2 linked regions of the Sus scrofa genome follow. The protein of the gene in region 2 interacts with the protein of the main gene of each other region in a biochemical or structural test. Links are inferred from orthologs where the notes say so. Each region holds a gene or a part of one and is shown on either strand. Other genes may lie near its edges. The genes, in order: TAX1BP3 and ARHGEF16.

Region 1 (14,776 bases), on a different chromosome or scaffold from region 2:
CCACTGTGAAGACCAAGCCACCCCTCCAGGTGGTGGGAGGGGAGGTCACACCAGTCAGAGAAGCCCGGAGGGTCCTGGCATTGGAGAAGGGATGTGGGGCATTGGCAGCAGGAAGAGGAGTGATATCCAAGTGGATGAACCTGGGGAGCCCGAGGCGGAGGCTCCAGAGCCCAATCAGGACTAAGGAGGGCGTTAAGATAGGGAGCCTGAAGCCGGGAGAACGCACATAACTCTCCCAGGTAACGTAGGTGTGATGGTGGAATTATGATTCCAAACCAGGCAGTCAGACTCCGGGCCCGTGTTTGTAAGCGCAGCACGAAGTCCCGGCTGAGTTTGGGAAGAATCTCCATTTGAAAGCGAGAAATAAAATGAGAGTAACTGGAAAGCCAGGATAGGGAGGAAGAAGCCGGAGAGGCAGCATCTCCCCTCCCTCTGCCGGAGTTGGGAGGTGCAGGGCTGGGGGGAGGGGGGCTCTGGTTGCCGAGCACCCAGATGAGACCCCCCCCAGGACCCGCCCACACCGCGCCCTCAGCCAAGGCTTGTCAGAGCCCAAAGGTCATTGTGTTTCTCAGCGTCGAGGTCCAGGCACATGAGGAGGAGGAATGAGAGCCACTTTTGTTTGGAGCGGCGGTCACAAGGGGCTGGAGGCCACCACCCAGCCCCCTCACCGCCTCCGGTCTGTCTGTCTGTCTGTCTGGCCCAGGCCTACATGAACTTTCACTACAAAAGCACCGAAGGCTGGAGCATTGGCAACGTGCTACTGGACTTCACCGGAGGCAGCTTCAGCCTCCTCCAGATGTTCCTCCAGTCCTACAACAACGGTGAGTCGGTGGGTGGGCTGGACGCACAGGCTGGGCGGGGCTTCCTGGAGGCCACGCCCTCCCCGGGGGGGAATTCCCCAGCCAATCCTGGGGGCTCTGGTAGCTGGAGGATGTGTGGTTTCCTGGACGGGGAGGGGCCCTCACCACCCCCCCCCCGACCCCCCCCCCCCCCCCCCCCCGCCTCCAGCCCCACGGACTCCAGCTACATCAGGAGCTGCCAGCCTAAAACTGAAACCAATCCCATCCCCTCTGGCTATTACAGACCAGTGGACCCTGATCTTTGGAGACCCAACCAAGTTTGGACTTGGCATCTTCTCCATCATCTTCGACATTGTCTTCTTCATCCAGCACTTCTGCTTGTACAGGAAAAAACCAGGGTATGAGCAGCTGAACTAGCTCCCAGGAACCCAGAGGAAGCAGCCCCCGCCCAGGGCCCTGGTGGGAAAGGCTCCACCAGGAAGGCTGGAAGAGCTGTCTCAAGTGCAGGGCTGGCTCCATGTGGAGAAGCATCCTCTTCCTCAGGGCCAAGTGCCTTAACCTCGAACCAGCCTGCCTGGGGCCAGAACTTTGCTGGGCCAGGGAGGAACCTCCCGGTGGGACTGGCACCTGAGTGTGGAGATGAATGGCCAGACCATGGGTCGTCCCTCCCAGCCTCCCCAGAGGTCTCAGCCCCTCCTGGGCCTTACCGGCCAGGCATCCGGCCCTCCTGCATCTTGATGCTGCATCTCTATTTTCTTTAAGGCTTCAGGCAGCCATCCCAGGCAGGATTGAGCACTGAGCTTGGACCAGAAGGCCTTGCCCCAAGCAACCAGTGTTTCTGGGAGCAACTTGAAGGACTGACCTTGCAGCTGGGAGAGCCAAGGGCACTGTGCTGCCGCTGCTGTGTCCAGAGACCAAGCAGCCAGGTGCTGTGGCCAATAGACCCAGTGGTGCTGGTGCTGGTGGCAGAGGGGCTAGGACTTTGGGGTTAGGCTTTGGGAGCCCCACCCCCACCCCCACCCCCGAAGGCTGCATTCTCTGAGCACTCACTGTCCTGACACTCGTTCCATGTAACTCCACTTCCACGACATGTGATCACAGGCGTGCCAGGCCAGGCTCGGGTAAAGAAACAGTGTTTTCAAGCCTTGAGGTGCCCAACAGATCTGTTCGGAACCAGACTCCCATCCAACACTCTGGATCCTTATCACACGAACAACCCCCGTTGGACTTTCCAGAGGGATGGAATGGAAGTGATGGCTTAGCTTCTTCTGCCTTCTGCTACCTCCACTTTCTCCTGGTCGGGCCCCATGTGAGCCCCTGACCTGCTCCTTACCCTGAGTGTGGGATGCAGGACACACACACACCAGTCTGTGCCTTAGAGGCCTGCAGACCTGCCGGGTGGTGAGTAGCTCCCTTGAGGGGAAGGGCAGGCCCCTCTCCCTCACCTGAGACTCCCCAATTTATGGCTGTTTAGGAGCCTCAGATAAGGACTTGAGACCACCCCATACAATCTTCGTGGGCCCAGCCTGATCCTAAAGCCTCTCCTTTCCCAACCCAAGTAGTTGTCCTTCCTGTGGCAGTGGGGGAGGGGAGGGGCCCAGGATGTGCCTTGTACACGCGTCGAGCTTGTCAGTCTGCTCTCAGATTTGTTTACCACGATATCAGCATGAGGGACATCTGTCCTTAATTAATTAAACCTGATTTATTTCCTCTGCACACTGAGCATGTGCCAGATGCAGGAGGCAGGTATGTTGACTTCAGAACCAAGTCCGTGGCACTTAGGGAGACGGCCTCGGTCACTCCCTGTCAGGAAATGCATGAGGTCGCCAAGTTCGCGGATCCAGAGACGGTGGCATGCCGACCCAGCACTTCATCAGGGGAGCCCTGTTGGGTGGCACAAGACACCTACCTGCGCAGGGCCAGGTAGGTCCCACAGGTACCCCATCTGTAGTACCCGGGGCTCAGCAGTCAGGCTGTGGTTGTGAGCACAGGTTGGCTGAGGTCTTGAAGGGCATGCGGCTGGCAGGGAAAGGTGTCTTCCAGTTTCTGCCTTGATCCGGGTGTAATAAGTACCAAAGAATTGAGGATCCCGTTTGCCTGAAGCAGAGACTGCAGCCTGACCAAGCCCACACACCTGTTTCATTGGGGCTGCCCAGTGTGTGACCAGGTACCACACTTTATAGATGGGAGATGTGCACAAATCTGACGTGGCGGTGCTAGGTGGGTCCCTGAGTAGTCACAACCGCCAGGCGGTAAAGCAGCCAATGCTGGGCCAGGCAGAGGCCCCCGTGCTCCCCAGCGTACCCCCATCTTGTCAGCTCCAGTCTCTGGGAACATTTAGGACCGTACCCTTCACTGTGGTAAACTGAGTGCTCTTCAGAGTCTTAGGAGGTGGGTGTTTTCCCATCACCTTGGTGACCGTGATTCCCCCCGAGCCCGGCCATGGAGGCTGAAGCTAGGCTACACAAGGGAAGTTGGGGAGCCCAGTCCCGGGGAAGGGACTCCCAGACTTTCCCACGGGGGTGGCCCTGGCCAAGCGTAGCATCCGCAGGCTGGGGAGTAGGTGGGCTTTGTTCAGAGCGGTGGAGGCCAGGTCAGCCAGCCTTACAGCCAAAGCTGTCACAGTTCACCCCCGAATAAGCCTACCCCAAGTCTCAGCAAAGACCCCTGGTGAATCCAGTACTGTTTATTGGGCACAATATGGGGGGCAGCTTCTTGCTGCCCCATTTCCACAGTAACCGAAGTAAGGCTGGTTCCCTTATTAAATGTAGTTCCCAGATATGAATTAGTAAGCTAAATTCAAAAGTTGAACTGGCATCTCCAAAGAGTAAGATAAAAACGCTTTGTATCAAAGTTGTGACTAAAAAAATACAAAAGTTAAACCCACGGGCATAGAGGAAAATGGCAATCCTGAGAACTGCCCTGAAATGTCAGCCTCGAACCTCATCTAAATCCTGTAAGCAGGTGAACCCCAGGGAGGCCAGCGCCCCTTGGTTGGGGTGCGATGGGTGAGCAGTGAGCCTGCCTGGCTTCTGTCCGGGCAAACCTTGGTAGTGTCTCTGGCAGTGTGAGTCGGTCCTCACTGGGGAACGTGGCAGGGGGTGTGGGGCACAGGGCACGGGGCACAGGCACTGTAGGGCTGAGACACGGGGCAGGGGCAGGACCATGCCCCTGAGTTTCCCAGCGGTGTGGTGCCCTCAAGTAGTGGGGGGTGGGAGGGCTCCTCGCCTGGGCACGGTTGTGGCCAAGCAGCAGGGTTTGGGGGCTGAGTCTGTGGTCATCATAGACTGATTCAAACTGGGCTCCAGGCCCTCGTTGCTAATCCTGTGTCCAAGGGAAAGAGCTCGGGCCCGTGGTGGGAGAGAAGGAAGGCTGGGTCAGGCCCCTGGGACCAGCTCTTGCCGCTCCGAGTCGGGGCCCAGCCATCAGAAGCCAGGACAAGGGACAGACAGAGCGTGGAGGTGGTGTCACTGCACAGAGGCGGGCAGGCGTGCGGCAGGGACCTTGGCAGCTGCTAGGACAGCATGGACTGCTGCACCGCCTTCTGCAGCGACTGCCGCGTCACCAGCAGCCGCACCACCTCCTCCGAGCGCTTGGTGAGCCGCTTCCGGGCCTGGTCGTGCGTGACCATGGTCATGTCCCAGCCGTTCACCTGGCCCAGGGAGAGAATGCAGCCCCCTCAGCTCGCCGCCCTCTGGGATCTGCAAGCAGGACGGGCTGTGGGGGGAACTGAGTCACCCAAGCTGACGCCCCAGATCTGGGGACACCAAGCGCCACCACACACAGGAAAGAGGGCTATGCCAGCATAGGCTCCGGAGCGGCTTTGGTGAGTCTCCCAGGTGCCCGGGGAGGCAGGCAGGGGCAGCCCCACACCCCCAAACGCACCCCACGTGCTTTAAACCCTCTGGCCCAAGCCTTGTTTTCCTCCTTTGGGATGTCTGTTACCTGCATGATCTTGTCCCCGATCTGCAGCCCGGCAATTTCCGCTGGGCCTCCTTCAGATACCCGCGTGACATAAATGCCCTGAAAAATAGGCCCCCCAAGTCAAGCACTGGGGTCACAGGACCGGCCTCTTATCCATAGAGCAAAGCCCAGCATGGCATACTCTTAGCTGTCCATGTGTCCACAGCCAGCACCCCCCAGCACAGGCTGTGCCAAGACAGCCAAGGGGGCAGCGGGGCAGCCCCACAGACGCTCCAGCCTCTGTCTGAGCAGGCTTCCTAGTACTGGGAGGGCTGGCAGGCCCTCTCCCCACCCCACCCCTCCTCACTCCCACCAGATCATGTCTTGGACCTTTTTAAAGAGGACTGCTTGCGAGAGATGAGGTCAGCTCCTTCCACAAAGGCCCAGGAAGCAGAGACCCACCATCTCAGGCCTCTGTGCCCCACGGAGAGGTCCCCAGACCCCCTCACCTTGTCTGTCTTATCTTCTGAGAAAGGATTCTGAGAGGGATCCTGGTCAATTCCACCTCCAATGCTGAAGCCCAGGATTAAGTTCTCACCTTGACGCAGCTTATGAATTTCAACTCTTTGCTAGCAAAGATAAAAAACGAGTTGGGGGCGAGTGGGTGTAGAGAATGTGGCCTGTGTCTCCAGCAGCAGCCTCAGGCAGCTGGGTAGGCTCGGAGCCATGCCACAGAGGTGGGGCCCAGGATCTCCTGCAGGAAGCCAGCTATTCACCAGCCTGGGAGGCTGGGGGGTTAAGGCTCAGAACTCAGCCACACCAACCCACCCACACAACCCTTCTCCCTAACCTCTCCCAGCTTCCTACGTCACAGGTACCAGCCTTCTTAACACAGACTAAGCCCCTCCTGGCTCTTGAGCCAGGATGCTGTGGCTGTTCCGGATGGGGTCTTTGTCCCAGGGGAGGGAACACAGGGGCAAGAGGGGTCAAGCTCTGAACAAAACATGTAGGCACCTTGCTGAGGCCAGCTCAGATTGCTAAGCCAGCCCTGTTGAGGGTGAGACAGGAGATGCTTTAGAACAGCGGGGATCAGACTTGCACAGAAGGGAGGAAGAGCTGTCCTGGCCAAGAGAACAGGAGCAGAGGCTCGAAGGTGCTGTGGCTACATTTCCTTGAGACGGGAGTGTATGGCACAGGACCAGAACCGGGAGGCGAGGTAAGGCTGAGGCGAGATGCATTAGACTGGTGAGTGCAGGGCCAGGAGACCAGCCTAAGGGACAGGACATCTCCCTAAGCCCCGGGGCCCTGCTATTGTGCAGTGTAGGAGGTGGATGCAGGGCCCAGGGCACCCTCACCACACGGTGAGATTGTGGACCCCAACGGTGCCAGGCTCCTTTCAAAGCCCTCAGCAGGCACCTTCCAGACCAGATGACCACCCCACACCCCCCAAAGTTGAGAGTTTTAACAGGAAGAAGGAAAAAACAAAGTAAAAGGCAACTGCATGTGACCTGATCTGGATCTGAGGGGCTTCATGAAGGAGGGGCCGTTTGTACCAGGCCTTGGGCTGACCAGGAGTTTGGCCACCTGACCTTGATTTTGGACCCACTGGAGCTCCCAGGAGTTGGGGAGTAGGGCTGACGGTAGATCATGGTCAGGTTTGATGCTGAAACGACCACCCAGGCAGTAAGGCAACAGATGTCTCACAGAGGTGGGACATCTCCGGATGGCCCATCATGCAGAGGCGGCAAGGGGAGCACCCAGCCAGCCATCTGGCCCCGCCTGGCTGAACACAACCATCTCCCAGATGTGGATCCCAGAGAAGGAGCATGTTGAGCTGGAGAACCAAGAGCTGTCCAGGTAGGTGTCCAGAAGGTGGACGAACCTATGGACCCAGAGTTCAGCGAAGAGGCCAAATGGTTTTAACACTGTCACAGCGTTAAGTATGTGGGAGAGGGCCTGGGGTAGGGAGGAGCCTCTTCCACCCCATCCCGGATCCAGGACACAGGAGGGAGAAGCCAGGCCCCACCCACCATATTCAAACATGTTCCTAGAGAAGAACCAGGGGGTCATGGTCCTAAAACTTAGAGGAAGGCCCAGGGGCCAGGAGAGACATGTGAGAAAGGGGAGCAGGAAGCATGACACCTGAGGCCTGCAGGACCTAGGTCCTCGTGTGTAAGAGTGTGAGCTCCTCCAGGCCTGCTCCACCTCTGGGGACACCTCTGACCCATCTCCAAGGTCTGGACTGGGAGACAAGGCCCCATCACTGACCTCCTGGGTGAGGTCAGGGAGGCTCCTGCCTCTTTGGTTCCCCACCTGCACTCCCTTTTTTCTAGCTAAAGAGCAAACCTGACCCCTTCTCTCTGGGGCAGCTAGAAGGCTGGAAAAGCCAAGCCGGTGCAGCCAGGGTGAAGCTGAGGACAGCTGTCAGCAGTCCAGGCCTGAGCTGGTGTGCTAAGCTCACCCTCACATGGCAGCTTTATCAGTGGCTCCCTGGTCACACCACCTGGCTGCTGGAGTCCCCAACACGCCCATCTGGATACTGCAGCCAGTGGCAGGGCCCTTAGGGCTACGACTTCCATCTGACCCATTCCTTGCCCAGCAGGCATTTCTGCTCAGAGATCTGGGTCCTTCTTGAAGCCTTCTTTACATGGCTGGGCATGGCCAGACATCTCTCTGGGACTCAATTTCCCCACCTCAGCCATGGAATGGGTCTCCAGGCCCCATCCAGCTGTGACATTGGCGTCTGAGTCTAATGTCCCAACTTCTCTGCCTATTCTCATAGCACTTGGCACCCAAGATGAACCAAGAGGGCAACCAGGGGCCTGAGCCGACCCCGAAGGGTCTCCTCAGGCCCCAAGTGCCAGGAGGGTGACCTGGGCTTTGCCCCAAGAGTTGTTTGGGGATCCAGGGAAAGTTCGGAGCGGGATCAAGTCAGTTGTATGAGCCTTCACTCTGGACCGACTGACTGTGCGTCCGAGAAGGCAAGGCTAGATGGGAGGGGTTGTAGGACTGTTACTCAGGCTCCGGCTACCTCCACCCGCAAGTCTTGGGCGGCGGCGCCGGCTGGAGCGGAGGAAGCACTTCCTCATTCCAGAGGCTGCGACTCATGGACTTTGGATCCGGCGCCCGCCCCCCGCGGCTACCCAGCTGGGGACACAGGCCTGGGAAGGGGACGCTTCCTAGACTCCCACAGCCGGGGCCTTTTCCCTCAGTAAGAAGAGTCCAGAGCGGCGGCGGCGGCGAGCAGGATCTGGCCTTGATCCCGGGTCTTCAGGAAGCTCGTGGGTCCCAGCCACCTCTTGCCTGGCTGGGGAAGACCACGGCTCCTGTCCCGCAGAGCGGGAACCGGAGCTCTGGCTGCGGGTTTGCAGGAGTCCCGGGTTCGACGCTTTGTCAACCTGTTTGGTGTATCAATTTACCTATCTGCAAAGTGGGGGCAAGCCAAAACTAGGAAGAGCCCGAGCGAGCGCACTCACCACCACGGCGGTGACCGGCTGGCCCGGAATGTAGGACATCTCGACCCCAATCTGGAAGCCAAGCGCCGCTCCCCGAAGCCTGCAGCGAGAATCCCGGTGGCCGCGCCCTCTCTGGTTAACAAAGGCTGCACGGCCCAGCCCGCCCCCTTATGAATAGTTAACAAGACTCCAGCGAATCACCTGCCGGAGCGCTGTCCGGCTCTCGGAAGTTCCCGTGCGTGCGTAGAAAAGCGGGGAAGTGGGTGGTGCGTGCTTGAGGCGTCCTCAGTGCGTGCGCCAGAGGCGGAGGGGGGGCGGGGAGCGAGGCCTTGGCGCGTGCGCAGCCTGGGCCTTCCCAGCATCCTCTGCGCAAGATGGCGTCGCGGGAGTCCCTGCTCTAGGCTGTCTGAGGGAACGTCGAGTGACTACCTCCGCCGCCGCGTTCCAGGTAAGTGGCCGAGTCTAGGCGGGAAATGCAGCTATGCGGCCAGCCGTCCCGAACCCTCAGCTTTCTCAGCGTTTTTCGAAGGTCCGAGACGCTGGGGGCGGGGAGGTGGTGCGAAGTCTTGGCAGCCCTAGGGAAAGGGGCGGCGTGAACCCAACTCGCCAGGCTCTGGGCGCTACTTGTAACGTGGTTCTCTCCGCAGCCCCGCGTTGCTTCGGGAGAAAGCAGAGGCCGAGTCCGGGTGGGTGCGATGGCCGCTGTGGTGGTCAAGCGGGAAGGGCCGCCGTTCATCAGTGAGGCCGCTGTGCGGGGCAACGCCGCCGTCCTGGATTACTGCCGGACCTCGGTGTCGGCGCTGTCGGGGGCCACGGCCGGCATCCTCGGCCTCACCGGCCTGTACGGTTTCATCTTCTACCTGCTCGCCTCCATCCTGCTCTCTTTGCTCTTAATTCTCAAGGCGGGAAGGAGGTGGAACAAATATTTTAAGTCGCGAAGACCTCTCTTTACAGGAGGTCTCATTGGAGGCCTCTTCACCTACGTCCTGTTCTGGACATTCCTCTACGGCATGGTGCACGTCTACTGAAAGGAGGGCAGGGATGACTTCTTTTTGAAAAGCAGATTGGGAGGACGGTTGCCGGAAATTAACAGCGTGTAGACTTACCTAGTTTTTAAATTGTTGGATTCGCTGCTTGTTCTGTAACGTTATGAATAATTTATATCTGAAGACGAAGAGCCTGTACTGTTCTTCAGATTAAATGAAGCGTGAGACCCTTTGTGGAGTTTTTTTCCTACCTTAAAGCGCCGCGCTCCGCGTCCCCGTCCCCCCGTCCCCCCCCCCCTCCCGCCGCTGTGGGTGCAGAATCGCCGGGTTTTGACTCTGGGAGAGCTCTCTGACTGCGCCTTAGCTTTCTTTCATTTCCTTGCATTGACACATGGGCTATTCGCAGAGGGGTCACTAAGGCCTAAATAAGAGAACTTATTAACATCCCGAGAACTAATAACAGTCAATACTTATTAAGTGTGCTCTATATACCAGGCATTGTACTGCGCACCTTTCACACTCATTTCTTTTTCTTTTTTTTTTTTTTGCTTTTATTAGGGCCGCACCTGTGGCATATGGAAGTTGCCAGGCTAGGGGTCGAATCAGAGCTGCAGCTGCCGACCTACCTCACAGCCACAGCAACTTGGGATCTGATCCGCATCTCTGACCTGCACCACAGCTCATGGCAGTGCCTGGATCCTTAACCCACTGAGCGAGGCCAGGGATTGAACAGGCATCCTGGTAGATACTAGTTGGGTTTGTTACCGCTGAGCCACAATGGGAACTCCTACACTCAATCTCATTCTAGCAGTATTCTTATGCAGTAGATTGATTCTTAGCCCCCACTGATGAATCTGAGGCTCAGAGAAGTTAAATACCTCTACCATAGGAGGCATAGCTAGGAAAAGGCAGAGCCAGGATTTCAGTGTAGGTCTTTTAATTGCCCGTACTGAATTATTTGAGTATATCTTTTCAGAGCCCAGTCTTCCCTCCCACTAACCACACCTTTCAGTTGTGAGTGGTGTCGTTTCAGTTCCATTTCACCAAGTCAGAGCTAGCTGTTGTTTCCATTTAAAAAATAAGTAAGTTCAGGGAGTTCTCATTGTAGCTCAGCAGTAACAAACCCAGCTAGTGTCCATGAGGACTCAGGTTCCGATCCCTGGCCTCACTCGGTTAAAGAATCTGGCGTTGCCATGAGCTGTGATGTAGATCTCAGGTGCGGCTGGGATCTGGCATTACTGTAGCTATGGCGTAGGCTGGCAGCTGCAGCTCTGATTTGACCCCTAGCCTGGGAGCTTCCATATACTGCAGGTGTGGCCCTAAAAAGAAAAAAAAAAAAAAAAAAAAAAAGGAAAAAAAGAGGTAAATTCAAGTTCTTTTGTGGTGCAGCCAGTTAAGGATCTGACGTTATCACTACTCAGGTGGCTGCTATTGTGCGGTTTCGATCCCTGGCCCTGGAACTTCAACGTGCCATGAGTGTGGCCAAAAAGAAAAAAAGAGAAATAAATTCAAGCTCTTTCTTCTAGACTGTGTCTAGTGAAGATTAAACAGACAATGGTTAAGCTAAACTTTGGGCTTGTCTAGAGTGTAAATGCCTCTGTCTCTATGTTAATCCATGATCCCTTCTTGTCAGGAGGATTATTTTAGAATAAAGTGCATACATTTAATTGAGAAATAAAATATGGTAGTAGAGTTAAGTAATGAGCATTTGCTTGTGGAATGTATAGTCTTAACTGGGAAGACTAGTAATACTTGTTTTCACAAATATTCAAATTATGGTAAGTGCTATGAAGAGCGTACACAGAAGCCCCAGACCTAGCTGGGCCGGGGGGTGGGGGGTAGCATCTTTAAAGAAACAACATTACGATTGAGATCACTTTATTAACAGTCAAGTGTGGAGGGAGTTACTTGCAAGAAAATACATATGTGAGGGCCATTGGGAAGGATAGCTTTTGGCCTGTGTCTTTAGAGTTAAGAGGCCCTGGGATAGACCCAGTGGGGGGTTTTGTTAAGAAACTTGAGTCCACTCACCCTGTGCAATAAAGAGACTCTACAAACACCGTTCACGAAAGTGCAGAGTTTTTTGTTTGTTTTTGCAGGCAGTGAACAAGGGGACCAGGCAGCTAGTGCTCAAAAGGCCCAAATGGCCGATTGCTTTCAGCGAAAGGTTTTTTTAAGACAGGGTGAGGGTTGCAGGTTCATGACCAGCTGTAGACATTGTTGTGATTGGTTGCTGGTGAGGTAACCAGGAGTCAGCATCATCAGCCTTCAGATTGGAACCGGCCTAGGATCTACATACTAGTGGGCAAGCATACAGTTAATTTCTTCCACCTGGTTTCATATTTGTAAAATAGCTTTAAAGACATGGCTCAGAATGTTATCCATAGCCCCTGAGGAGGAGCCAGAGGTCCTTAACTTTTGTTTTTTTGGGTTTTTTGTTTGTTTGGGGTTTTGGGGGGGTTTTTTGTCTTTTGTCTTTTCAAGGCCACACCCGCGGCATATGGACGTTCCCAGGCTAGGGGTCCAGTCAGAACTACAGCTGTCAGCCTACACCACAGCCACAGCAATGCAGGATCCAAGCCGTGTCTGCAACCTACACCACAGCTCACAGTAACACCAGATCCTTAAACCACTTAGCGAGGCCAGGGATTGAACCCGAAACCTCATGATTCCTAGTCGGATTCACTAACCACCGTGCCACCACAGGAACTCTTTTTTTTTCCTTAACTTTGTTTAATGGCTCAGCTGTCATTATTATTATTATTTTGTTTTGCTTGATTGTTTTCCTTTCTGTATTTTCTCACTTTTCTCATTAAATTTATTCTTGAGAACTCAGGGAAGGGCTAGGAGGCACAGGTTTTCTACAGACAGAGGCAGGTGGAAGACATTGCCTCCTGAGAAGGCCTCATAGGGTCTTGCTCACTTATGGTTTGGCTTTGATACTAATAGCAAACCTTTGAAAGTTTTGTTTGTTGAATTGTTTTATAGGTGATTTATAATGTACTGTTAATTCTCTTGCACAGCAAACTGACCCGGTTTTGCATATATATATGCATTCTTTTTCTCACGTTATTGTCTATCATGTTCAGTCACAAGTGATCATAGTTCCCTGTGCTATCCAGCAGAATCTTATGGCTTATCCATTCCAAATGCAATAGTTTACATCTACTGACCCCAAACTCCCTGTCCCTTCCACACTCTACCCTTTCCTCTTGGCAACCACAAGTCTGTTCTCTATGTCCATAAGTTTCTTTTCTGTAGATAATGTTCATTTGTGCCCTCTATTGGATTCCAGATATAAGCCATGTCATGGGGTATTTGTCTTTCTCCTTCTGATTTACTTCATTTAGTATGAGAGTCTCTAGATCCATCCATGTTGCTGCAAATGGCATTTTTTGTTGTTGTTGTTCTCCTTTAGGGCTGAGTAGTAGTCCATTGTATATATGTACCACGTCTTCTTAATCCACTCATCTGTGGATGGACTTTTAGGTTGTTTCCGTGTCTTGGCTATTGTGAATAGTGCTGCACTGAACATAGGGGTGCATGTATCTTTTTCCTTTTTTTAATTTAGTTTCTTTTTTTTTCAATTACTCAATGAATTTTATTACATTTATGGTTGTACAACGATCACAACCAAATTGTATAGTCTTTCCATCCCAAACCCCCAGCGCATCCCCCCACCTTCAACCTGTCTCCTTTGTAAACCGTAAGTTTTTCAAAGTCTGTGACTCAGTATCTGTTCTGCAGAGAAGTTCATTGTGTCCTTTTTTTTAAGATTCCACATGTAAGTGATAGCATTTGATGTTGATGTCTCACTGTCTGACTGACTTAGCATGATAATTTCTAGGTCCATCCATGTTGCTGCAAATGCTGTTATTTCTTTCCTTTTAATGGCTGAGTAATACTCCATTGTGTGGGAGTTCCCTTCATGGCTCAGTGGTTAATGAACCCCACTAGGATCCATGAGGTTTCGGGTTTGATCCCTGGCCTTGCTCGGTGGGTTAAGGATCCTGCGTTGCTGTGAGCTGTGGTGTGGGTCACAAACCCAGCTCGGATCCCTCATTGCTGTGGCTGTGGTGTAGGCTGGCAGCTGTAGCTCTGATTTGACCCCTAGCTTGGAAACTTCCATATGCTGTGGGTGCAGCCCTAAAAAAAGCTGTATATATGCATTGTTTATGTGTACCATATCTTATCCACTCCTCTGTCCATGGACATTTAGGTTGTTTCCATGTCTTGGCTATTGTATAGAGTGCTGCAGTGAACATTGGAGTACATGTATCTTTTCAAGTCATGGTTTTCTCTGGATAGATGCCCAGGAGTAGGATTGCTGGATCAAATGGTAATTCTATTTTTAGTTTCCTGAGGAATCTCCACACTGTTTTTCCACAGTGGTTGCACCAGTTTACATTCCCACCAACGGTGTAATAGAGTTCCCTTTTCTCCACACCCTCTCCAGCATTTATTGTTGGCAGACTTTTTGATGATGGCCATTCTGGCCAGCGTAAGGTGGTACCTCATAGTGGTTTTGATTTGCATTTATCTAATAATTAGTGATGTGGAACATCTTTTCATGTGTTTTTTTGGCCGTCTGTATGTCTTCCTCAGGGAATTGTGTGTTTAGATCTTCTGCCTTTTTGTGTGTGTGTGTGTCTTTTTAGGGGTGCACCCACAGCATATGGAGGTTCTCAGGCTAGGGGTCTAATCAGAGCTGTTGCCACCACTGAGCAAGTCCAGGGATCGAACCCACAACTTCATGGTTCCTAGTCGGATGTGTTTCCACTGCGCCACAATGGGAACTCCCTTCTGCCCATTTTTTGATGGGGTTGTTTGTTTTTTTGGTATTGAACTGCAGAAGATATTGATAAATTTTGGAAATTAATCCCTTGGTAGTCGCTTCATTTGCAAATATTTTCTCCCGTTGCGTGGGTTGTCTTTTTGTAGGGTTTCCTTTGCTGTGCAGAAACTTTTAAGTTTAAGTCCCATTTATTTATTTTTGTTTTTATTGTCATTACTCTAGGAGGTGGATCTGAGAAGATATTGCTGTGGTTTATGTCGGAGAGTGGCCTGTGTTTTCCTCTTAAGAATTTAATAGTGTCTGGTCTTATATTTAGGTCTTTAATCCATTTGGAGTTTATTTTTGTGTATGTTGTTAGGAAGTGTTCTGATTTCATTCTTTTACATGTGGCTATCCAGTTTTCCCAGCACCACTTATTGAACAGGCTGTCTTTCTCCATTGTATATTCTTGCCTCCTTTGTCATAGATTAGTTGACTGTAGGTGCATGGGTTTAATTCTGGGCTTTCTATCCTGTTCCACTGATCTATATTTCTGTCTTTGTGCCAGCACCACATAGTTTTGATGACTGTAGCTTTGTGGTATAGTCTGAAGTCAGAGAGCCTGATTCCTCCAGCTCCATTTTTCTTTCTCAGGATGTCTGGCTATTCTGGGTCTTTTGTGCTTCCAAACAAACTTTAAAATATTTTGTTCTAGTCTGTAAAAAATGTCCTTGGTAATTTGAAAGGGTTATGTTGAATCTGTAGATTGCTTAAGGTAGTATAATCATTTTGATAATATTGATTCTTCCAATCCAAGTGCATGGTATGTCTTTCCATCTGTTTATGTCATCTTGATTT
Region 2 (14,776 bases):
GGGCCTGGAAGAAAGACGAGGCAGGATGTGTGCAGTAGGGAGACGGCTGACAGGGGGGCTCAGGTGGGAGCTGGGGACATGCACAGGACCCCACAAGCCTAGGACCTGGGGCGGCAGGAAGAGCAGTGGCTGGCAGGTTGGTGTCAGGCCCAGTGGGGCTGTGGGGGCGAGTGGGAGGGCAGGGCTCTTGGGGCCCCACACCTCGCAGTTGCAAGGATTCCAGGGAAGCAGGAGCTGGTTTCTTGCAACAAGTTGGGGCCTGAATACTCCCCGTGCTGCCCTGGGACAGGTGGGGCTCCCAGCCACACCTGGCGCAGCCCCCAACCCCGGCCCTGTACCCCCAGTGCCCCCGCCCCTTTGGCCTCTAGGCCAGGCGTCTGCTGCTGCCTCTCCCCTCCCCCTGCCTCTGCCACCCTGTGTACAGGCCTCCAATTTAACCCTCTTTTCCTCAGGCCCCTCCCCCCAGGGAGCCCCTCTGTACTCTCGGCACCCTGAGCACCCCCTGCCCGGCCCACAGTACCCCCACATCCCCTGCACCCCACCATCCTGGGAACTCTTGCGGGGTCTGCCCACGGGGGACGAAGGGCTCAGGAAGTGTTGGCCGGACACATGAATCAAGGTGAATGGAGCGATGGCCCCAGAGGGGCGCGGAGGGCCAAGGTCAGGGTCTCAGGCAGGCACCAGGGCGGTGTCCCACCTCCCAGGCCTGAGAACGGTGGCTCCCCACCCCGCTCATCTGCATGCTGGGTCACTGGCATTCTCACGGGTGGTCTGGGCTTCTCCCCAGACCAGGGTCACGGCTCAGGGTCCAGGCAGGAACCCGTGGTCAGGAGGCTACCAGGATGGCACCCATGGGCACAGAGCCCTGAGCCACTGTTGGGCAAGGCAGAGAGGGAGAGCCTGCCGGGGAGCATCAGACCTGAGCTGCCACCAGCCCTCCTGGGTTCCCGATAGGAGCCCAGGGCAGTGGCTGCTGCAAAGCCCTCACTGAAATCTGTCCTTTAGATGGGCCAGCTCCCCCTCGGGGCTCAGAGGGACTCGGAGAAGGGCTGGTCCCCCTCCCCAGGCTCCACTCCCAGCTGTGGCTGAGTCCCAGGGGCTTCACCTATAAAATGAGGACATTCACATTCTTTCAGAGCCTGGCGTGGCTTAACCAGAATTAACATGCCCCGCACAAGGAGGAGCGGCTGCCTGATGAAGGTGACGTGAGGTGTGGCGCCTCCCTGCCCCCACGTCCCCAAGGCCCTGTTGCCCAGGAGGATGGGTCCCCTACCTTATTTTTGGCCGCGTACCGAGCAGGAGGCTGGCTGGGCTCCTCGGCCAGAGCCTGGAGCTTGGGGCTGAGCTGGACGGGCCCCCCCCCGGCTCCCGGGGTCCCCAAGCCCTTCATGGCCGCCCGGTAGGATTGGTTCCGCAGGTTCCGTCTCAGCACCCCCCCAGAACCCGTGTCCACGTCCATGTCGTCCAGGGAGAAGCTGGGGGCCGAGAGGAGGCGGGGGTCCCGCCGGGCAGCCTCCTTGCTGAGCATGGCTGCCCCGAAGCTCTGGTGGCGGGCGGGGGTCTTGGCCTTGCTGGACACGGCCAGGCTCCTGGGGATCAGCTGCTGTGTGCCCATCTTGAGGGCTGCCGGGCTCTGCGTGCTCAGGACGACGGCCCTCGGTGCCTGGGCCTCGGGGGAGTCGGGCTGGAAGGCCGCGTTGCTCTTGCTGCGCAGGGAGCCCCGGACCATTGGGAGCGTGGAGGCTGGGTTTCCCTGGGCGTCCAGCCGCAGCTCCGAGTGGAAGCGGTATTCTAGGAGCTTCTCCTCCAGGGAGCTGTCGGAGTGCCGCTGGGACATGCTGAGTGGCTGCAGGTCCTGGGGAGGGGGAGAAGTGAGGGGCGCTCCTGCAGCCAGAGCCCGAGATACGGTGGCCAGGGCACAGTGCCCAAAGGCTGGTTTCGCAGCCTGGAGCAGAGCGGGCCGTCGCATTGCCCGCGGTCCCTGGGACTCCCCGGGAAGGTCAGAGCAGGTCTTGGGCTTTCAGGGACCCGGGCTGCCAGGACTGGGCCTGAGGACGGGGCGTCTGAGCTCTGGGGACCAGCTGGGAGCAGCCGGCACAGAGACGGCCCGTGAGGCCCCCCTGCTCCCCTGCTGCGGGGGCTGTAAGGGTGGGGCAGCGTGGGGTGCGTGGACCTGGGACCCCACAGGCCTGGACTGGAATCAGCTGTTGACCGTGAGGACAATGAAGAGTGCCACCAGCTGGACTTGCCTGAGGCCTGCGTCAGACAGCCTGGCTGCGTCCCTGCCCTGGCCTGACCCCAGCAACCAGGGCAGGCAGGGCTGGGCTCCTGGGCTGGCTGAGCTGCTTTTCCCTCCCAACCCAAGAGACATGGGCTGCTGCATCCTCATGCAGAGGCCAGGGGCTGGCCCCCTGGAGACGCAGCACATGAGGGCTTGGAACCAGGCTCTGATCCCTGACTCAGAGCTGCTGCGCACAGAGGCAGCAGGGATGGCCGGCTGTCTACACTGCTTTCCTGTGTGTCCACGACATGTCCCCATTTCCCCACACTTCCTACGAACGGTCAACCGTCGTCTCAGGTCTTGCAGAGCAGTCACTGCCTATGCGGGTAACCAGCGAGGGAGGGGGGCATTTGGAGAGCTCGGCTCTGACCCTGAGCCCGAGGCCCAGTGCACGCTGCCGCTGCATGCCTATCTCTACAGCCTGTGACCGCCCCCCCCGAGGTCTGCCCATCCCTCTGTGCCCCTCGGATGGGCCAGCCAGCACCTCCCGGCAGCTTGCTCCCATCCGGACCCCTCCACCCTCTCCAGTCTCACCCACCGCCCGCCCTCCAGCCCCGGCCGGCCTAGCAGCCCCCACAGCAGCAGGCAGCCCCGTGTGAAGTGATGCGGCCTGTCCTGCGTGTGTCCACCAGCATTTCCCGCTTTCATCCTTCCTGCATAGGCAGGGCCGAGCGCAAGGACGTGTGACCCTCCGGGGCAGAAACCTCAGAGGCCACTGCATGTGCCCCCCCATGCCTTTCCCTGTGGGGTGCTGCAGGAGTGCGTGGGGATGGAGCCCCCACCTGGGACGCCCCGAGTGACTGGGACGAGCCCTCTGGACCCAGGGTCTCTAAGCACCTGGTGTCGCTATTTATCGCTGCAGCACAAGCTGGCGCATCCTGGCTGGCAGCCTGTCACCACTACCTGTCACACCCTGGGCTTCGTGGGCACTAGCCTCTGGCCACTGACCAGTCCACGCTGAGGGTCTGCTCTCCCGTCACCACCATTGCTTCCCCTGCTGCTCTCTGTGCCTTGGTTTCAAAATCTGTAAAATGGGCACAGTGATAATCCCCCACCTCCTGCAGGGGGGTGAGCTCACAGGCAGAGTGCATGAAGGGGGCCTGGCAGCCGAGGGGCCACGGTGTCGTGGTGACCAAGCCGGTGCTGAATAGATGGCCATCTAGGAGCCTCCAGAGGAGCAGCGACAAGGGGAGAACTTTGCAGGATTAAAGTGTCGTAACCTGGAGAGAACTCGCTCCCAGAACTTTCCTCTCATCTTAGAGTAGAAACAAGGAGACCCAGCGTTCAGACGCTCCTCACCCACGCAGAACCTGTGAACGCTATAATCCTAAGGGCTGGGTGAGGGTGGAGGCCCATTTTTCAGGTGGAAGAGCGGAGGCTCCAGGTCACCAGGGGCCTAGCGGGGACGGGAGCCTCGGCTCAGAGTTCGCCACCGCTCTGGGGGAGGAGGTGTGACCGCCCTCTCCTCCATGGGGGCACGCAGCAGGGGTGGCCAGGCCTGGGAGGGTGGGTACTGCCAGGGGACCAGCGTTTGTTCCAGAGCCTGCCCGCAGGTCCCAGCCCGAGCCCACCTCACACGCGCAGCCTTGCCTCTGGGTTCCTCTCCCACTGGGAGGTTCCAAGCTCCAGGGACCCCTCGGACGGGAGCCCAGGCAGAGTTGGCTGCACGGGGCGGCCTAAATCCCGGCACAGTAGAAGCGACCTGGGCAGGGGCACCCGGAAGCCTGGCTGCCTGCCCGCCCCGCTCTGCCATCCCAGCTCACGGGTTCTCGGCTCAGACCATCCCAGGAAGGTGTGTGCGGCTCTGCCTCCAGGCCAGCAGGGCGGGGCTGGCCTGGAGCCCTGGCCACCCCCACACGGGAGGACGGCCCACGCATTCCTGGGGACATTCTGAGTCACCAGGCCGAGGACGAGGACAGCAGCAGCCACCCTGGGGCCTCCTGGGGAGCCGGCAGCTGAGGGCGGGTCTGCCCCAGCCCGCATCGCCCGCCCAGCCTTAACCTGCAGGTCATGCAGGCCTGGCCAAGAAAGGGGCTCATTGCAGGTTCTCCTGTTTGCACGCCAAAGCAAGATGACCCAGATGGGCATCCTGGAGACGTCCAGCCCCTGAGTCCTTCTTTCTGAGCCGCAGGGTATTTCCCGCGTTCTAATGTCCAGGTGGCACTGAGGGGCCCACACAGGGACTGCGGCACCCGTGACCCCCGCCCACCCCGCCCCCACGCTGGTCTTCCTCCCCCACCTCCTCTGGGGCCCCAGACCCCGCCAGTGGCAGGGCCACTCCCAGGAGAGGGCAAAGTCTGCTCAGGAGCCAGAACGTGCCAGACGGATCCTGTCCAGCCAGCCGTGGCCGGGCGTGAGCTCCGTTCCAAGCACGACAGCCACACCCTCAGGCCTCGGGCGCCACCAGCCAGGACCAGGCCTGGAGGAGAGGGGCACCGTGCCAGGGGCGTGGGCAGCTGCCCCGCTCTGCCAGAGCTCCAGGCCCCGGGCTCCTGGAGTTAAGGCATCTCAGGGCCACTGGCTTCTTCCTCCAAGGCTTTGGTTTATCCCTGAGCTACCTACCAGGGCATAGGTTCAAAGGTCAAATACCGCCTAGAGCCTTATCATCAAAGACAGGCGTCCTCTCCATGCCTCCCTGCCCCACTCCGCGGCCTTCCCTCCATTTCCAAACAAGGCCCAGCCCGCCACTTGGCCATGTCCCGGCCGCAGGCCTGCCTCTCTGGCCCCGTGGACAAGGCCTGGCCGGCACAGCCATGGCCCGTGGGTGTTTGCGTTAGCGCAGCCCGGCTGCCTCCCTCTTGTTAATAATTCCCTCTTATTTACCGGCTGCCTTTCCTCCTGTTACTCCTTCTCCCCCGTGTGTCCCAGCACCCCTGCTCTGGGCATCAGGATGGCACGCTCTAGAGGGTCAAGCATCAGTCTGTTTACCCAGAGACCCTGGCCTCTCTCCCCGGGCCCTCCCTTCCCTGCTTTGGGGGCTGGAGCTCGGCCCCCTGTCCCCCTCCCTGCATCCTGGTCCTCTCCTCTCCCCACCCCCAGCTTCGAGAGGGAGGGGGGTCTTTCTCTGAAAATGCCTTCTTTCTGCCTTTCTCTCTGCGGGGATGGGCTGCGTTTAGAGTCCCATCAGAAATGATTTTCTTCCGGATGGAGAAGCCCGCTTCTCTTGCCTCCTGGCTTTCAGTGCTGGTGAGACATCGGCGCTGGCCCCACTCGCCTCCTCGGCTCTCGACTGGCTCACCCCAGCTCGGCCCGCAGAGGGTGGGTGCGCCCCGATTGACCCGCGGGCACTGACGCCCACGGGGACGGGCTGACGGCGGCGGATCCGTGTCCACTCCCCGAGCTCGTGCCCTCTCCCAACCTGTTTTAGGTTCGGAGGTTTCCCACTGCTGTTTCTTTTTTGTTTGTTTGTTTTTGGTTTTTGTCTTTTTAGGGCCGCACCCATGGCATATGGAGGTTCCCAGGCTAGGGGTTGAATGGGAGCTGTAGCCACCGGTCTACACCACAGCCACAGCCACGCAGGATCCGAGCCGCGTCTGCGACCTGCACCACAGCTCACGGCAATGCCGGATCCTTACCCCACCGAGCGAGGCCAGGGATCGAACCCGCAACCTCCTGGTTCCTAGTCGGATTCATTTCCGCTGCACCATGATGGGAACTCCTCCGTGGCTATTTCTCTGAGAATTTCTCTCACCTCTGTTTGCTCTGGCCTATTTCTGGAAGAGCTGTTACCGAGCACTGAAACCGCTGAGCCGACCCACACATCCTTGCTGTTGTCTCTCCTCCCTCCTGTCCGCGGTGGGAGTTGTCTTCCTTTCCACTGACGTTATAGCTCTTTGCACCATCTTACAAGGAGCACTCTCCTAGTCTTTATTCGCAGCAGCCTGTTCTTATTTCATGGATGCCGTGGATGCCACATCCCTGTTCAGTGTCAGGGGTTCTGATTCCATTTTCTCTTGAACGGGTTTCTTTCTGTTCCTGGCCCAGCTCCTCTGCACACGATTTTCCTCCTTCTTCTCAGCTCCATCCCGGGCCCCAGGCTTTCCTCAAACGCCTGGTGGTGCCGGCCAGCTATAGCCTTCGGTTTAGGAGACAGGTGTGTGCTGGCAGGAGGCTGGTGTGCCCTCTGAGCACACACACGTGAGCACACGCTTCTGCCTGGCAGGCTTTTTGGGACTCCCCACCAGTCTGTGTCTGGTGGCTTCTCCTCCAGCAGAGGGGCTCAGACGTGTCCCTTTCAGTGTCCTCGCTGGACGCTGGCCTATGCCTGGTGTCCTGCAGGCAGGGCAGGGGAGGTCCGAGGGCACAGATTCAGTGCTGGCTGTGCTCTCTGGGCATCGATGTCGCCGAGAGAGGCCAGACCCCATGCAGGGAGCACTTGAGCCACAGAGGCAAGTCTGCTCTCCCCCCCTCACCTGCAAACCTCCCCAGACGCCCATAGCAGCAGTCTGTCCGTGTCTCTCTGAGTCTGTGTGTCCTTCAGGAGCTGGGCAGCTTCCTGCTCATGTCCCCACAAGCAGTGGGGCTCAGTTCCCACAGGGAAGGCTGCTGTCATGGGCACCGGCTCTCCACTTCTGGAGCGGTTTCCTGAAGAGGCCCTGGCATTCCGTGCCTCTAACCCACACGGTACTCGGCTCCAAGCGAGCAGAATCCTCCAGGGCAGAGCCTCAGGGGCTCCAGACCAGTGTCCACCACCTTCTGGGAGCGTCCAGCTGCCTCTGCTCAGGGTGGGCTGGGGAGGGCCCCTTGGGTTGAGTGGGGGAAGCCCGGCACGAGCTCTTTCCTTTGCCACTAAGCAGCCTGTCCTGGCGTTGTGGGCACACGTGCAGGCCAGGGAAGGGGCACGTGGGACTCCGGGGGGAGGAGCAGTGGCCTGGGGGTCAGCAGGTGGAGGCAGGGAGGTCTCTGGCAGCCTCTGGTGACCAACTCGGCCTGTCTGGTCCTAAGCTGCACCTGGCCCAGTGCTGGTTTCAGGATGGCCTGGCTCCAAGGGCCCCTGGCAGCCCGGCAGCACAGCAGCCCAGAGCCTCAGATGGGCTTCCAGGGACCCCAGTAGGCTCAGTGCCGCCGGCCCCCCTCCGAAGAAGCACGATTCTCCCGGCCTGAGCCTGTGGCTCTCACAGCCACCAGGACCCTAAGTGCCCTGAGTATGGGACCTGCCGCCACTCGGGTGAGGTAACCACAGCACCTCCATCCTTGGGGCGTCTGTCTCTAGGTCCGGCTGACGCGACCCTGCCCATGGGGCTTGGCCTCCGGCACTGAGCCCACGACCCCACCTTTGCCAAGGCAGATCTGACCCGCCATGGTGCCCTGTGCTTGGATAATTCTGTCGGGTCAAAAGTTCGAAACACGGAGTCACATGGAATTTGGGGCAGGATTTGGCTTTGTGAAGTGCACAGCAAACAGTTTCACCTGCAAGGTGGCCGGGGGCAGCGGGGGGCTCTCAACCGGAGTGGCTTGGTCCCCGGGGATGCTCAGCAGTGCCTGGGGACATTCTTGGTGGTCGCAGCTGTGCTGCCTCTTGTGGGCAGAGCCCTGGGAGGCTGCTCAGAACTTACAGCAGCGCCCAGGATGCCCGCAGGGGGTCATAGATCAAACGTCTGCAGGGCTCAGGTGGGGAAACCTCAGCTTGGCTACCTGGACTCACCCGCCACGTCAAGGCCAGAAAACCCACCTGGCCGCCCTCAGCCCCGGACACAGCCTGGCAGAGGGGAGGGACGGTGGCCTGCCCTGGGCCCCTCCCACCCCGAGCAGAAGTCTCTTGGCACCCAGGCAGGGCTGTCATCACAGAGGCCACCTTCCCGGCTCGGCCCCCAGTGCCCCCCAGATAGGCCCACCCCCAGCTCCCACTCCTGTCTCTGAGTCCAGATGCCCCAACCCAGCTGCAGTACCAGGCTGGCACCCATGGTGTTTCCCCAAAGAAGCCCCAGATGAGCAATCAGAGCCCCGACTCGGTCAGAAATCAGCTGACCCATGGGGAGCCTCCAAACGCCTCCCTGCCCCCCTGTTTTCTGTCCCGGCCGAGCTTCTGGGGGGGTATTCTCCCCCTCTGCCGGGTGAGGAAACCAGGTGTGGGGGGAATGTGACCTGCTGGGTCAGGCTGCAGGTCAGCAGAGAGCCGGGCAGGGAGCCAGGCCCCCGGCCTGACCCAGATCACTGCCCCATCGGGCCAGGGGCCGGGGGTGACTCTCAGGAAAAAAGGTGCTGCTGCTGCGGCGGGTCCCTAAGCGCGCGCGGTCACTGGCGTGGGCAGAGGAGGCAAAGCGGTGAGATCCATTCAGAAACCGAAACTAAATTTCCGGGACCCAGACGAAGGGAGGGGCTGTGCCCGTGACACGCAGCCTGGCATCTCAGGGCCTGTCAAGCTGCTTCGCGCCACTTACCTCTGCACCCAGTTTCCTCCTGTGTGGGCTCAGAGACGCCCCCTGGGGACCAGAGCCCTTGAGGAACAAGGACCCCCCCATAGCTCCTCCCTGCAGGTGTCCAGGCGGGGTGGGTGTGGGGGCTCTGCGGGCGGTGCCCACTGCCTGCCCCTCACAGACTCTCCTCCGCAGCCCGCGGGCATCGGCAGGGCTGCAGCTGAATCAGCACCCTCTAAGCACCCCCACTTCACAGAGCTGGAAACTGAGGCCTAGAAGCCTCAGTCTAGGTCACAAGGAGTGGGGATTTGGACCTGGGGTCCTGACCTCGGGATGCTGGGTAGACAGGGTTGGGGTGCTCGTGCTCTCCCCAGCAGGCCCTGCGTAGCCTGGCCTCGTTGGCCAGTGTCCCCAAATCCCGACGCCAGGAGGTGCAGCCCCCTCACCCCCAGGACAGAGGGCTGTTGGATGCAGAGTTCCCTGTAGACTCCCTCCTGGCAGCCCGGCCGATGTTGGGTTGAGGTCCACTCCCAGCTCTAAAGGGACCCTTGCTTCCCAGGTGCAGAAGCAGAGGTTGGGCAGCTAAGGCAGGCGTCCGTCCAGCCCTGCCCTTCGGGAGCCTAACCCCCCTCCCCTCCCTCCTTCGCAGGAGGCAGCCTGGGACCTCCCGCTGCTGGGTCCGCCCTCCAGGGTGGGGAGGGCCGGCTCTCGCAGGTGGGGAGAAGGCTCCACTTTCTTGGGGTCCAAGCAGTTTGGCAGCAGATTCTTCAGCTGCTGGGAGGTTGTTTCTAGGGGACCCCCCCGCCGGGGACCCCACCTCACCCCCCACTGCCTTTTTGGGGCTTTGGAAGGTCTCACAGTGCAGAAGCCTCAGTGGGAGCTCCAGCTGCAGAGCTCCCCTGGGGGCTGGAAGCGCCCCTTTCCCCCAGGGCTCAGAGGACAGAAGGGGGTGGGGTCAGGGGCTCCAGGTCCAGCCGCTGCGGAGGGAGGGAGGGAGCTGGAAACTGTCGTGGCCCCCGGCGCGGGGCCAGCAGGAAAAGTGAGGGGAGGAAATGTGCCCTTGGGGTGGCCAGCCCCTTCCCCAAGGCTCACCCGTCCCTTCCCAGGCTTACCTGTTCCCCCTCGCCTGTCCCCCAGCCTCACTTGTTCCCCCCTCACCTGTCCCCCAGGCTTACCTGCGCGCTGGGGTGGAGGAAGGAGCAACAAGCACAGCGGCGATGTGGGGCCGCTCCAGCCTCCAAGCTCCGCGCCCTGGCCGGGCGCCGTTCCGGGCCTGGCCTCTATCCCGGCACTTGGTCCCTCCTTGTCCCCGCCCTCCCACTTCCTGTGCGGCCCTGCGGGAGGTGATGGCTCGGTCCCGCCCCACCAGGTGGGCGGCCAGGTGGGCAGGGCCCGGGCTGGGCGGAGGGAACGGCTGGGCGTGCCCCAGGTACCTGGCCGTGCTGGCTGCGTCACTGTCCCCACCTGGCTGGTCAGCACCCATGTGACCCACGGCTGAGTGGGCTTGGCCTCCGAGGCCCTCACTGGAGGCTGCGCCACTCGCCACTCCGGAACAGCCCTTGGCGGGCGCCCACCACAACCTCCCACCGTGGGGCCGGCCGTCCCCAGGGGGGCGGTTCTGCCTGGCTCCCCAGCTCTCCCCACTGCAGCCCTGAATTCTAGTCTGGGCGCTGCTGCCGCCTCCTGCTGCTTTCCTGCCTCCTTTACTCTTGGGGGTTTACCGAGCCACTGCTGTGGGCTGACGACTGTGTAGGCGTCGGAGATGCAGCCCCGAGCTCTGCGACGTGGTCTCTGCCCTCAGCGAGCTCACCGCAGCGGGAGACAGACAAAACCACAGCCACTCAGGGTTCAAGCAAAGATTCAACGTGATCAGATCTGGTGGAAGGAGCCCTCTGGCAGTGGAAGAGGGTGTTGGGGGAGGGGCCAAAACAGATACCTTGACCCCCAACCCAGACCAAGGCAGCTGACATCCTGCCTCTGCTTGGATACCTCCAGGATGGGGAGCTCACTACCTCCCAAGACCCATGATTAGATTGGCCCTGTTATCCACTTCTTATCACCTGTCCTTACTGATGACCCGGAATCCAGATCATTCGTCATCCTGGCTTATTCCCCCAGGTGCTTCAAAGTGGACCGAAACCCCTCCTATTTCAACCCCTCACCTTTCTTCTGGATGCCATACCTCTGCTAATACAGCTGCTTCCCGCTACAGCTCTTATATGGCCATCCCAGGGCCCTGAATACAGCAGGTGTTTGGCGAGGGCCTGGTGACTCAGGTGCGGCCCGAGATCCCAGGGCACAGCCCTGGAGGTGCCAGCCTGTTTCCCACCTGCCTTCAGGTCCCCCTTTCAGGGATGGCTCGTGCCAGTTATGCCAGCGGTGTGATTCCGTGTGCACCCCTTGCTGGGCGGTGCATTTGGGCTTCCAGCCCAGCACTGTCCCTTCGCTGACCCCAGGCGGTGGTGCAGTAGGCAGCGTGTGGGGACATGCCAGCTGGCAGGACACCGTCTAGCCTGGGGCGTGGGCCCGCCCTCTCCTGGGGCCCGCCCCCCCAGGGCTGTGGCCTTGGGAACTTGCTGTCTGTACAGGGCAAGGGGCTGCTGCAGGCTGGCCTGGCGTTTTCCTTAGATGTCGTGCTGGAAGGGCAACCCTGCCAGGCATGCCTTCGGCCTTCCCAGTCCCGCCCCCATTGCTGCCCCCACCCCCCAGGGTCTGCCCTGAGGCGGGGGCCTGGCTGCCGGAAGTGGGATAAAGCCCACCAGTGCGCAAGAGCCACCTGGGCAGGGCCCAGGCTGGCCACAGAAAGGTGCCCACCAGGGCCATCCATCCCTTCTGTGTGTGGGGGGTGGGTGACCTTGGTGGGCAGAAGCCTGGGCCCTGTGGCCCCCCGGGGTGGATGGACCGCTTCAGGGCAGCTCTGGGGGAAAGCTGGGCACCTGCTGCCCTCCAGAGGTCATTGTTGGTACTACACCCACAGGGCTCAGACTGCAAGAGGGAGCCGCAGGGGAGACCCAGGCCCTGGGGGTTCTGACTCCCACTCAGTGACTTCCACTGCAGGGTTAATCCCCACTTGCCCTGGCCATCCAGCGCCTGCCTATTCTGGCCCCTCCAGCCCATGGGGGCTGGTTCTACCTCCAAGCTGGGGCTTCGAAGGGCCATGTCCTTGGCTCGGCAGGCTCAGCCTGTGATTGGGGACGGGTGACCCGGAGCAAGTGGCTTGACCTGTCTGGGTCTATGTTGTCTCAGCTCTAAAATGGAGGTTTGATGATGACCTGTGATCAGGGCTGTTGGCTGGAAGGACACAGCTTGAGTGAATTATAAGGGACCAGCATGGACAGAAGGACCAGGGCTGCTGTCACCACCCTCCTTGCTCTCAGCTGCCAGTGCAGTAAGCCTGCAGGACTCGCACCCTTGTGTCTTGGACAGAGGGCATGTGGGCCAGGTCAGTACAGAACACACTGCCCCCTGGACGGTGCCTGGGCCCCTCCTGCCCTGCCACGGGCCTCCTGGCGGCTGGGTCCCCTCGCAGGGAGCCGGATGCTGCTGGGATGCGCCCTTACTTGGAGCTGGGTCCTTCCAGAAGTAATTACGACAAGATCCTACCAGATTAGGCCAGGCCCTAAATCCACTGGCAGGTGCCCTTACAAAAAGAGGGCCATCTGGGTACAGACAGAAGGGAGGAGGTCCGAGGTGGATCGAGACAGAGGCTGGAGGGACGTGTCTGTGAGCGAGGAGTGCCAGCAGCCCCCAGATGCCAGAGAGGCACAAAGGATCTGCCCTGGAGCCTTCAGCGGGAGCACCTTGGCCTTGCGTCTGGCTCAGGGCCGGGAGAAGCTGTGCTCCGTTGTGTTCAACCCCACTGTGTGGTCGTTTGTTGCTGCGGCCCCGGGAGTCGTTCCCCCTCCCGCAGTCTTTCTTTAGGGCTCCCCTGCCTCTCCGAGCCTCCTGCTTTGCCTGCTTGTGTCTGCAGTTCTCTCTCCATGCCCCATGATGAGGGCGACAGACTGCAGGTGCCAGGCGGCCAGCACGCCCTCGCCTATAGGCCGGGGCCCCTCTCGCGTGGTCTGGGGGAGCACCGTCTGGCGGGCCTGGAGGAGGCTGCCCTTGACCTGTGCAGCCAGGCAGCGTTCATCCTGCTTGTCCGGCTTCCAAGGGCTGGGGGGGAAATAAGGGCGGAGGCCTTGCGAGAGTGGCCTGGGTCTTCTCCTTGCCTCTGCCCCATGAGAACCTTGGCGGGGACCCCACTGCCCCACTGTGGGCTGGGGCCTGGGCCGGGCTGGAAGTGGCCTTAGTTCCTGGCACCGGGGCCTGTGGGTGGAGCCTGCACTCGGCGGCTCCCCGCCCCCACAAGGGTAGGGTCAGCCTCTACTGCCTGCCAGGAACTCCTGAAATGAGGACTGGCCCCCATGGGGTCCCGACAACTTCAGTGACCCCATGGCACTTGGGATTTCCTACAAAGAAGTCTGGGCTTATCGGTAGAAGTCTCATTCTTGAGGCTCCCGGGCATCCCGGAGGTCTCACTCTGAGTCTTGCCAACTTTTGCTCAGCTGCTGGAGCTGCAGCCTGGAGAGGCAGTGTCCTGAGGCCAGCAGCCCCCAGGAGGCCTTTTGATCTTACCATCCCAGGTTCCTGGGGCCAAGGATGAGCAAGGCTAGCAGGGCCACATGGGCCGTGCCCGCTGCCCACCCTCCCCTCCTTGGGCTGCAAGCAACGTGGGGGTGGGGGAAGGGGCACAAGGCTCCTTTCTTCTCTGGCTCTGGCATCCGGCTGACCTATCACTCACTGCAGGGCCCACGGGTGCCCGGTCCAGCCTGCGGGCAGCTGGAAAGGTCTCGTTGACCTCAAATGATGCGGTGGCTGGTGGCTGTGAGTGGGCCTGAGCACAGAGGCTCCTCTGTGCTGGGAGACTGGAGGCCCAGGGTGGGTGGGGTTTGCAGATGGGTGTGGGGGTGGCGTGGGGGACGGGGTGCCGAGGGGGGCCTGACTGCCTCTCCGGCCGATGGGGGTGGCCTTGCTGAGCAGGAGCCCAGGGTCACTCCTCCTTGTCCTCTCAAGAGCAAATTGTTGTCACCTCCTATTAAGCACCTACTGTGTGCCAGGCCCCATGCGGCACCTGACTAAATTTTTACAGCAACTCCCTGGTGGCGATGTCCTCACCCCCATGTAGTTGAGGGGGGAGGTGTGTGTGCTTTGTCACTGGCTAGTGAGTGGCTGGGCCAAGATGGGAGCCAAGGTCTGCCTGACTCCAAGCCCCAGGCCCCCTCTAATAGTTAGATACTGTTTCAGACTTCCAGAGAAGTAAATAATTTTTTAAAATGCATGTATCTGGTTTCAGTTGAGAATTTAAAACATTAGGAGTTCCTGCCGTGGCTCAGCAGCAATGCATCTGACTAGTATCCATGAGGACACGGGTTTGATCCCTGGCCTTGATCAGTGGGTTAAGGATCCCACATTGCCATGAGCTGTGGTGTAGGTCACAGATGTGGCTTGGATCTGGTGTTGCTGTGGCTGTGGCCAGTGGCTACAGCTCCGATTAGACCACTAGCCTGGGAACCTCCATATGCCACACATGTTGTCCTAAAAAGACACAAACAAAAACAAACAAAAAACATTGCAGACATTTTGGTGGTGATGTTGCAGCTCCCACCATAATCAGTAGATAATTGGACAAAAAACTACAGGAAGCAATGGTTTTAGACTCTGGAGAGCAGAGAGCAGAAAATTATGGTTCCTGGGAAAAGGAGCCCATGAGGTGAGCCCCACACCTGCTCAGGTTTCTTCTAGGAGGCAGAATGAGGCAGAACACAGTGGCCTCACTGAACTGAGGGGACAGAGTTGGGGTTCAGGGAGGCTGAGGGGACTGGGAGGTGTGCACAGATCCCTGGAGAGGAGGCTGTGATGCAGAGAAGGACCTCCCTAAACCATTGTGGGGCAGCCTGTGTCTGCTCGAAAGCTATGCTGTGTGTGTGCAGAGTGAGATCCCAGGAAGCCAGCGAAGGAGAGCTCCCAGCCTCCACATGGGTCAGGAGACACTTGGAAGCCAACCACCAGGATGAAGAGGCCTTATGGACCTCAAGGCACTGGATGGAGATCAGAGAAAGCCAGGTATTAGGTGTAAGGTAAGCTACACCCAGGGTGA

The links.
Region 1: the proteins of ARHGEF16 (region 2) and TAX1BP3 form a complex in vitro, tested with the Homo sapiens proteins (2 studies listed by BioGRID and IntAct, with this or other methods). The link is inferred for Sus scrofa from reciprocal best matches to the Homo sapiens genes ARHGEF16 and TAX1BP3.

Annotation. Positions count from the first base shown.
Region 1 is NC_010454.4:49,750,694-49,765,469, forward strand, and holds TAX1BP3 (tax1-binding protein 3), read right to left. Parts: upstream 8,334-14,776; 5' UTR 8,219-8,333; coding exon 8,180-8,218; intron 5,333-8,179; coding exon 5,213-5,332; intron 4,824-5,212; coding exon 4,746-4,823; intron 4,453-4,745; coding exon 4,315-4,452; 3' UTR 3,469-4,314; downstream 1-3,468. Other genes in the region: CTNS (cystinosin), read left to right, coding at 704-821, 1,084-1,198, 1,563-1,599; EMC6 (ER membrane protein complex subunit 6), read left to right, coding at 8,854-9,186. UniProt on the Homo sapiens protein: May regulate a number of protein-protein interactions by competing for PDZ domain binding sites. Binds CTNNB1 and may thereby act as an inhibitor of the Wnt signaling pathway. Competes with LIN7A for KCNJ4 binding, and thereby promotes KCNJ4 internalization.
Region 2 is NC_010448.4:65,021,925-65,036,700, reverse strand, and holds the start of ARHGEF16 (rho guanine nucleotide exchange factor 16), read right to left. Parts: upstream 9,751-14,776; 5' UTR 8,743-9,750; coding exon 8,662-8,742; intron 1,856-8,661; coding exon 1,274-1,855; intron 1-1,273. UniProt on the Homo sapiens protein: Guanyl-nucleotide exchange factor of the RHOG GTPase stimulating the exchange of RHOG-associated GDP for GTP. May play a role in chemotactic cell migration by mediating the activation of RAC1 by EPHA2.